2 linked regions of the Oryctolagus cuniculus genome follow. The protein of the gene in region 1 purifies or fractionates together with the protein of each later gene. This does not show direct contact. Links are inferred from orthologs where the notes say so. Each region holds a gene or a part of one and is shown on either strand. Other genes may lie near its edges.

Region 1 (3,809 bases):
AGTAGGAAGCTGGAATTAGGAGCGGAGCCTGGGTTTGAACATAGGCACTCAGATAAGGGATGTGGGTGTCCCAAGTGGCTTCTTAAGTGCTGTGCCAAACGCTTGCCCCTGAAGGATTCTTCTCAGCTTACATTTGTGCCTCTGACAGAGTTTGAAACAGCTGAGACACTTCTAAATTCCGAGGTGCATATGCTTCTGGAGCATCGCAAGCAGCAGAACGAGAGTGCAGAGGATGAACAGGAACTCTCGGAGGTCTTCATGAAGACTTTGACCTACACAGCCCGTTTCAGTCGTTTCAAAAACAGAGAGACCATTGCCAGTGTCCGCAGGTGAGTGCTAAAAGAAAGTCTGTTAGTCCAACTTGTTGGACATCTACATGTGTAACATTGTTCACTCTTGCTTTTCCCAACATCATCTGTGAAGGTTTTTGTTTTTTTTTTTTTTTTTTTTTTTTTTAAGATTGATTTATTTAGGGGCCGGTGCTGTGCTGTAGCAGGTAAAGCCTCCACCTGCAGTGCTAACATCAATACTGGTGCCGGTTTCAGTTCCAGCTGCTTCACTTCCCATCCAGCTCTCTGCTAATGTGCCTGGGAAGGCAGTGGAAGATGGCCCAAATGCTTGGGCTCCTGCACCCATGTGGGAGACCCAGAAGAAGCTGCTGGCTCCTGGCTTCCAATTGGCCCAGTTCAGGATGTTGTAGCCATTTGGGGAGTGGACCAGAGGATGGAAGATTCTCTCTCTTTCTCTCTGCCTTTGCCTCTCCCTCTCTGTAACTCCACCTTTCAAATAAGATTTATTTTGTAACTAGAAAGGTGGAGTTACAGAGAGGGAGGGAGGGAGGGAGGGAGGGAGAGAGAGAGAGAGAGGTCTTCCATCTGCTGGTTGAGAGAGAGAGAGAGAGAGAGGTCTTCCATCTGCTGGTTTACTCCCCAAATGGCTGCAACGGCCAGGAATGGGCAAGATTGAAGCCAGGAGCTAGGAACTTTATCTGGGTCTCCCATATGGGTACTGGCGCCCAAACACTTGGGCCTTCTTCCGCTGCCTTCCCAGGCACATAAGCAGAGAGCTGAGTGAGAAATGGAGCAGCCAGGACTCAGAGCAGCATCTGTATGGGATGCTGGGCATTGCACGTGGTGGCTTGTGCTGCTATGCCATGACTCCAACCCCCGTGTGAATTTAATATAAGTAAAGTAACATCATTGTCAAAAAATTTTAATTGTTTATAAGGCCAAAATTATCTTGAGCCACCATCTTTTATACCTAAATCACAGTTTGATAGAATTTAAAGATTTTTAATTAAGCAGATTTACTTATTTTGTGCCTAAAACATCATAGAGATCTTTGCATGGTAATAAATGTAGATCCAGAACATTCTTTCTGGGAGACACAGTGAGGTGCTTGGGCTTAAAGGAGGCTATAGGAAAAACAGCTAGGCCAAATGCCTCCTCCACCCTGGTTTTTTTCTTATCAGAAAGCTGAAGATCATTTCTGAAACTAAATTTACCACAGATGAGCTCTATTTTAAGAGGCAGAGGTGGGGCAACTGCTGTGGCACAGCGGGTAAAGCTGCCGCTTGGGACACCTGCATCCCATATGGGCACCAGTTGGAGTCCCAGGTGCTCCACTTCGGTCCTGCTCTCTGCTAATGCTCTTGAGAAAGCAGTGGAGGATGGCCTTATTTCTTGGGTCCTTGCACCCACGTGGGAAGTTCCTGGAAGAAGTTCCTGGCTCCTGGGTTTGGATCTGCCCAGCTCCAGTGTTATGACCATTTGGGGAGTGAACCAGCAGATGGAAGATCTGTCTCTCAGTAACTCTGCCTTTCAAATAAATAAGTTTTTAAAAGAAAAAAAAAAGAGAAAAGAGGTAGAGTGATGAACATTCAAGACAGTATTTGTGCTGACAGTGTTCCAAACAGGACTTGTATGTTTACTGATTTATTTATTTACTTATTTGAAAGGCAGAGTTACAGAGAGACAGAGGCAGAGAGAGAGAGAGAGAGAGAGAGAGGTCTTCCATCCACTGGTTCACTCCCCAGATGGCTGCAATGGCCAGAGCTGGTCCAATCTGAAGCCAGGAGCCAGGAGTCTCTTCCTGGGTCTCCCATGGGGGTGCAGGGGCCCAGGGACTTGGGCCATCTTCCACTACTCTCCCAGGCCATAGCAGAGAGCTGAATCAGAAGTGGAGCAGCTGGAACTAGAATCAGTGCCTATATGGGATGCTGGCACTGCAGGTGGTGGCTTTTCCTGCTATACCACAGCACCGGCCTCTGTATGTTTAATTAAGATATGTTTCATACACCAGTATGCACAAAATAGGGTAGTCTGTATTCCTATTTAGATAAATTTTAAAGAGAATTTCCTCCCTGTCAAAATACCTATTAAATCGGGAACAGCTAACATTATGTGCTTAATGTAAAATTAAGAGGGGTGGGCGTTTGACCTATCAGTTAAGACGTTAGTTGGGATACTTGCCTTCCATATTGGAGTTCAGTCCCACTTTTTTTTTTTTTTTTTTTTTAAGATTTATTCATTTATTTGAAAGGCAGAGTTACATAGAGGCAGAGAGAGAGGTCTTCCATCTGCTGGTTCACTCTTCAAATGGTCGCAATGGCCAGAGCTGGGTTGATCAGGAGCCAGGAGCCTCCTCCAGGTCTCCCATGCAGGTGCAGAAACCCAAGGACCGGGCCATCTTCCACCACATTCCCAGGCCATAGCAGTGAGCTAAGCTAGATCCAAAGTGGAGCAGCCAGGACTCCCAACTGGCATCCATATAGGATACTGGCACTGTAGGCAGCAACCTCGCACTCTGTGCCACAGCACCAGCCCCCAGTCCCACTTTTAATTCCAGCTTCCTGCTAGTGTGCCCTCTGCAGAGCAGCAGGTCATGGCCCTAGTAGTTGATTTCTGTTACCATGTCACCACTGAGTTCCCAGCTCCCACCTTCCTTCTGGCTGTTGCATGTGAGGAGTGTACCACTGGACAGGAGTTCAATGCCTCTCTTTGTCTGGCTCTCAAATAAGTTAATTTCTTCAAAAAAATTTTTTTGAGATTGATTTATTAAAAGGGCAGAGAGGAAGAGACAGAAATTTTCCATTCACTGGTTCACCTCTCAAATGCCAACAATAGACAAGTCTGGGCCAAGCTTAACGCCAGGAGCCAGGAACCCTGGTCTCCTACCTGAGTTACAGGGACCTGAGTATTTGTACCATCTTCCACTGCCTTCCCAGGCATGTTAGCAGGAAGCTAGATCAGAAACAGAGCACCTAGGACTTAACCCAGTACTCCTTATGAGATGCCTGTGTCACAAGTGGTGGCTTAACCCACCGTGTCACAACGCTGGCCCCTCCCGATAAATAATTTTTTAAAAATTAGTAATATAAGAGTCAAAGAGGTATAGTAGAAAGAATAGTAACAAGAAAATAAATTTCTGGGCAAAAAGTGGTATCGTCTGAGGTATGAAGTAGTTTTTCACAGGTTGTGGCAGGTGCTCCTCTACCTGGTGTGTCTCCTCTCTTTCATCTCTGCCTAAGTTCACTGCAGCTTCCTGTTCTTTAGAGGCAGAAACAGGAAGTAATTTGAAAGTAGAATTCTGCAGCCCACATAACCGTAAAGAGAAGGTTGCAGATGCTTCACGTTTTCTCTTTGCTCCCCACAGTTTTTCTTGTTGATCATTCTTTGATTGGGTTGTTTTGTTTGGATTTTCCTCTCTATGACCAGCTTGCTGCTCCAGAAGAAGCTTCATAAGTTTGAGTTGGCCTGTTTAGCCAACCTTTGTCCAGAGACTGCCGAGGAGTCAAAGGCCCTGATCCC
Region 2 (4,360 bases), on another chromosome or scaffold:
TCACTACAGTTGTGTTCAAAACGGAATAATCTGGGAAGGCTTTGAGATGAGGTGACTTGAACCAAAAAAATTGTAATTCATTTTGGGAAGAAGGGATGACTTTCCACAAGAGGAAAACAGAAGGGGACACAATTCTGAGACTTAAAAGAAAGGCATCTTTGCCTTGAGGACATTTGTGGCTCAGGAACAAGAGACAGCCATTTCACTACTGGGGGGGGGGGGGAGTTCTCCCACTGAGGCCCAGGGGGAGCAGGAGCTTCTTCCAGGTCTCCCACGTGGGTGCAAGGGCACAAGGACTTGGGCCATCTTCCACTGCTTTCCCAGGCCATAGCAGAGAGCTGGGTTGGAAGTGGAGAAGCCGGGACTTGAACCAGTGCCCATATGGGATGCCGGCACCGTAGGTGGCGGCTTAACCCGCTATGCCACAGCGCTGGCCCCCTGACTCTAGGTCTTTACATAAGTATTTCTTACTCAGCTAGGACTTGAGTAAGTTATTGAAGCCCCGAAAGCAAGGTTTATATTGAGAATGTGTGTTTATGTTAGTTACTCTGATCACAATGGACTAGATGGGGATGGGGTGGAGGACAGAAATAGCTAGCTACATTTGAACTCCTTGAAATAGCTCTGGATTTTATCTGGAGCTTCTGACTGGCTGCAAGTTGCTTGCGTTTCTATAGTATCTTATATTGGACTGAGAAAACATCAACTGCCTGTATCAAAGAGTGAGGGGAGGGTGTTTGGAAAGTGTGGGGTAATCCAAACCCGTCAGGTCCGGGTGTCTGCTGCGAGTCTACAAGCTCCCCATTCTTTCCTTCGGGATGTAGCTCTGGTAGCTCAGCTATAGAGCGGGTAGAAGCTGACTCTGATGCCTACCACACTGCCTCCTCAACAGCCAGAAACAAAACTTTGCAACCATTTTATATGTTCGTAAATAAGTCTAAAGGGAAGAGAGGTGTCTTCAAATTGGGGTGCTGGAAAAGGGAATTGAGTTTCGAACTTAGAGCTGTCACTTAATTTGTGCCCTGGGAATATTTGCTCCCATTTTTGTGCCTCTGTTTTCCTATAGGCAAAACTGGGAATTATGAAAGGTTTTCAAAATTTGTATAGATAGCATCCTCATCACCTCTGTTGTGGATCTTTGGGAGAGAAAGAGAGAGAGAGTGAGTGTGTGTGTACATGAATGTGCCTTATCCTAACTCCTACCGCTTCTGAATACACAGGTGAATGGCTGCGGAACGTCCCAACCTGCACACACAGCGAAATCCCGCCAAACCCAGGCGCTGACGTCATCCCCCAGAACTTCCGCCCCTTCGCGCTCCCCCGGGCGCCCCCTTCTCCTGGTCCGTGTTCGTTTCCGGCGTTTCAATAAAGCTCGATTCGCCTCGAAGAAGACTTGTTCTTCCGGGAAAATGGCGACTCCCGCTCGTGCCCCGGAGTCGCCGCCAGCCGCGGATCCTGCGCCAGCGGCGGGGCCTGCTGAGGACGCCGAGTGCCCGCCGCCTCGCCAGCCTCAGCCCCCGCAGAATGTCCTTGCTGCCCCGCGGCTTCGAGCCCCAAGTTCCCGAGGACTTGGGGCAGCGGAGTTTGGTGGAGCTGCGGGAGATGTTGAAGCGCCAGGAGAGACTTTTGCGCAACGAGTAAGCTGGGGTCCCTCCGAGGCACAGCCCGACTCCTAGGGTTGGGGCTCCCGGGGACGCCCCCTGCCTTCCACCGCCCCGCTCCCTCCACTGGAAGGTGACCTTGCCTCAGTGCGATTCGTTTCGGTCCCGCGGCCTGCAGCCGCAAAGCCACGCCACGTTCCGGCCGCTGCTGCTGCAGCTCGTGGGGGTGGCTCGTGTCCCCAGCGGCTGCTTAGCGTGGAGCTAAGCTGGTCCGCCAGCCCCTCGTTGGTTTTGTTTACTCAGTTCCCATGTCGGCTTTGAAGGGAAAGCTTGTGTCCCAGATAACCCTGTTCTCCCGCCCCGGGCCTGGCGCCGAAAATCTGTTGCCAGTTTTCTCTCTCGATCCTTTCCTTACGGGAACCGGTGAGGAATGAGAAGAGTGAGATGTAAAGAACGGTTTCTCAGGCCGAGAACTTGACTCCCATTCAGCTGGCAGACGACCCGGATGGTTAGCAGGGGCGCGAAATGACAAAAGGGGTGTTTGAAGGGCAGTTTCGTGTTCAGCAGCTCGGAGCAGGATGGCTTGACGGACTAAGAGGCGGAAGACCCCAGGAGGATACTTTTAGAGAGGTTTCCTGCAAGGAGGTCGCAGGAAAGTGAACTGGGACGGCGGCCGGCCGTGGGATTGGCAAAACTTTGTCAGGCAGGGATTAAGATGGCTGAAGTTTCCCATGTGTGAGGAGAGCCACCAAGAGAAATAGAAAAAGTGAGGGGAGGGAGTAGAGGCAAGGTTGATTTGTACTTCGAGTGCATGGAGTTGAGAGGAGAGCAGGAGAGAGGGAAGGGGAGGTGGAGGGGGTTGGGGAAATTGGGGAATCTTGAATGCACTGAGTTGTTCATAGGTAGTTGAAACTGAAAGCATGAATGTAATGTCAGAGGAAAAAAAACTACTAGAGGGTCTCAGATGTAACCTCGCCCCTTATGTATTGTATGGCCGAAGAAAAGGAAATTAGAAAAGAAACTTATGTCACTTCCAAAAAAGCAGTCACTTGAGGGTCTTTGTAGTAGACAGGTGTTGCTGTGACATTGTGAGAATGGCAGTGAATTAACATTTGGGTGTGAAGATCTCCTTATACTCTTATTTAAGAGCTGGGCATGCCAAAGAGCTCTTGTTTTTCGTGAACACATGAGCACACATTCCACTTCAGAGCCAGGATGGTGTCACACATCATGTGGCTTCTGGAAAAGTTCACCCTACCCCTGTGAGAACTTGAGAGGGAGGTGGTAAATAACGCTTTAGTAGTGTTGTTGGAATAATTCTGACTCTGCAGGCCCATTCCCCCAGCAGGTTTTGGAGATTACATTTTAAAAACTATGAATTTGGGGGATATCTTGTATGATAATCACACAGGTTAAGTCTCCCCTATCTGAAATGCTTAAGACCAGAAATGTCTCAGATTTTGTTTTTTTTTTTTTTTTAAATTGTCTTTAATATTTGTATATTCATAATGGGATATTTAGGGATGAGACCCAAGTCTAAACACAGTTCATTTATGTTGCATATGCTCATAGCTTGACTTTTAGACAGGTTTTTATTGTACCTGCATTTTGACTACAATTGTCACATAAGGTCAGGCATGGATTTTCCACTTAGAACATCATGTTAGTGCTAAAAAAATTTTCAGATTAGAAGTGTTCAGCCTGTATTCTTCAAGTCCTTTTGCCAAGATTCTAAATAGAAGAGACAGATGAGGCCTATATTCTCTGTTCTTCTATCCACTTGTTTTCTAAATGTATTTGGAAAATTGTTGTATTGTTTCATTCCTGTTTGGGAGCTGGTAAAAATCAGACATTAACTTAAAAATCAGTTTGCTCCCTTGGAGGATGGTGCTTTGTCTGTTAAGTGTTACGCCTCAAGTTTAAAGCCATGGCCCTAATGTATACCTGTTCTTTTCCATTTGACAGAAAATTCATTTGCAAATTGCCCGACAAAGGTAAAAAGGTCATAGACACCGTTGCCAAACTGAAAGCTGCCATTGCAGGACGTGAAGAGGTTAGAGGGAAAAGTGAACTCTTTCATCCTGTTAGTTTAGACTGTACGCTAAGGCAAAAAGCAGATGCAGTTGATGTGGACATACATAAGGCCCAGAATTCTGACCAGATACTTGCTACGTCATCACTAGTTCCTGGCTGTTCCTCTGTAGATAACGTCAAGTCATCTCAGACAACCTCACATAAACAGGGACTTGTACATCCTCCTCACAAAGGTGAGGAAGAGACTCCAGAGGCTGAGGACCCAGCGAACAAGTGCCCAGCTTCCAGCAACAGCAGTGCCAGCGTGCTTTCCTCGGCTGAAGCCAGAGAGCATCTCCCTCAGCATAGTGTTTCAAGTCAAGTGGAGGACGTTTCCAGCAGCCTTGACAACCTGTTTATTGATAAGTTGCAAAGGATCACAATTGCAGACCAGAGTGAACATCCCTCAGAAGGATACACGAGGACTGAGAACTTGACTGAGAACGTGACGGGCTTTGGGAGCGGGACTCAGAAGAAGCCTCATTACATGGAAGTGCTAGAAATGCGAGCCAAAAACCCACTGCCCTTACCACATAAATTTAAAACCAATGTGTAAGTATCGTTGGAAACATACTAGCACAGGAACCTAATATTTGTTCTACCCCCAAACTTGGGAGGCTGCCATAAGCACATTTGGCTTCCTTTGAGTGCTGCTTGTGGTTAGAGATGGGGCATATTATGGAAGC

The links.
Region 2: the proteins of POLR2D (region 1) and POLR2M purify together in Homo sapiens (affinity purification with mass spectrometry; 3 studies listed by BioGRID and IntAct, counting the BioPlex papers as one, with this or other methods). This does not show direct contact. The link is inferred for Oryctolagus cuniculus from reciprocal best matches to the Homo sapiens genes POLR2D and POLR2M.

Annotation. Positions count from the first base shown.
Region 1 is NC_091434.1:121,258,930-121,262,738, forward strand, and holds part of POLR2D (DNA-directed RNA polymerase II subunit RPB4), read left to right. Parts: intron 1-148; coding exon 149-329; intron 330-3,716; coding exon 3,717-3,809. UniProt on the Homo sapiens protein: Core component of RNA polymerase II (Pol II), a DNA-dependent RNA polymerase which synthesizes mRNA precursors and many functional non-coding RNAs using the four ribonucleoside triphosphates as substrates.
Region 2 is NC_091443.1:80,571,795-80,576,154, forward strand, and holds the start of POLR2M (protein GRINL1A), read left to right. Parts: upstream 1-1,318; 5' UTR 1,319-1,524; coding exon 1,525-1,637; intron 1,638-3,566; coding exon 3,567-4,226; intron 4,227-4,360.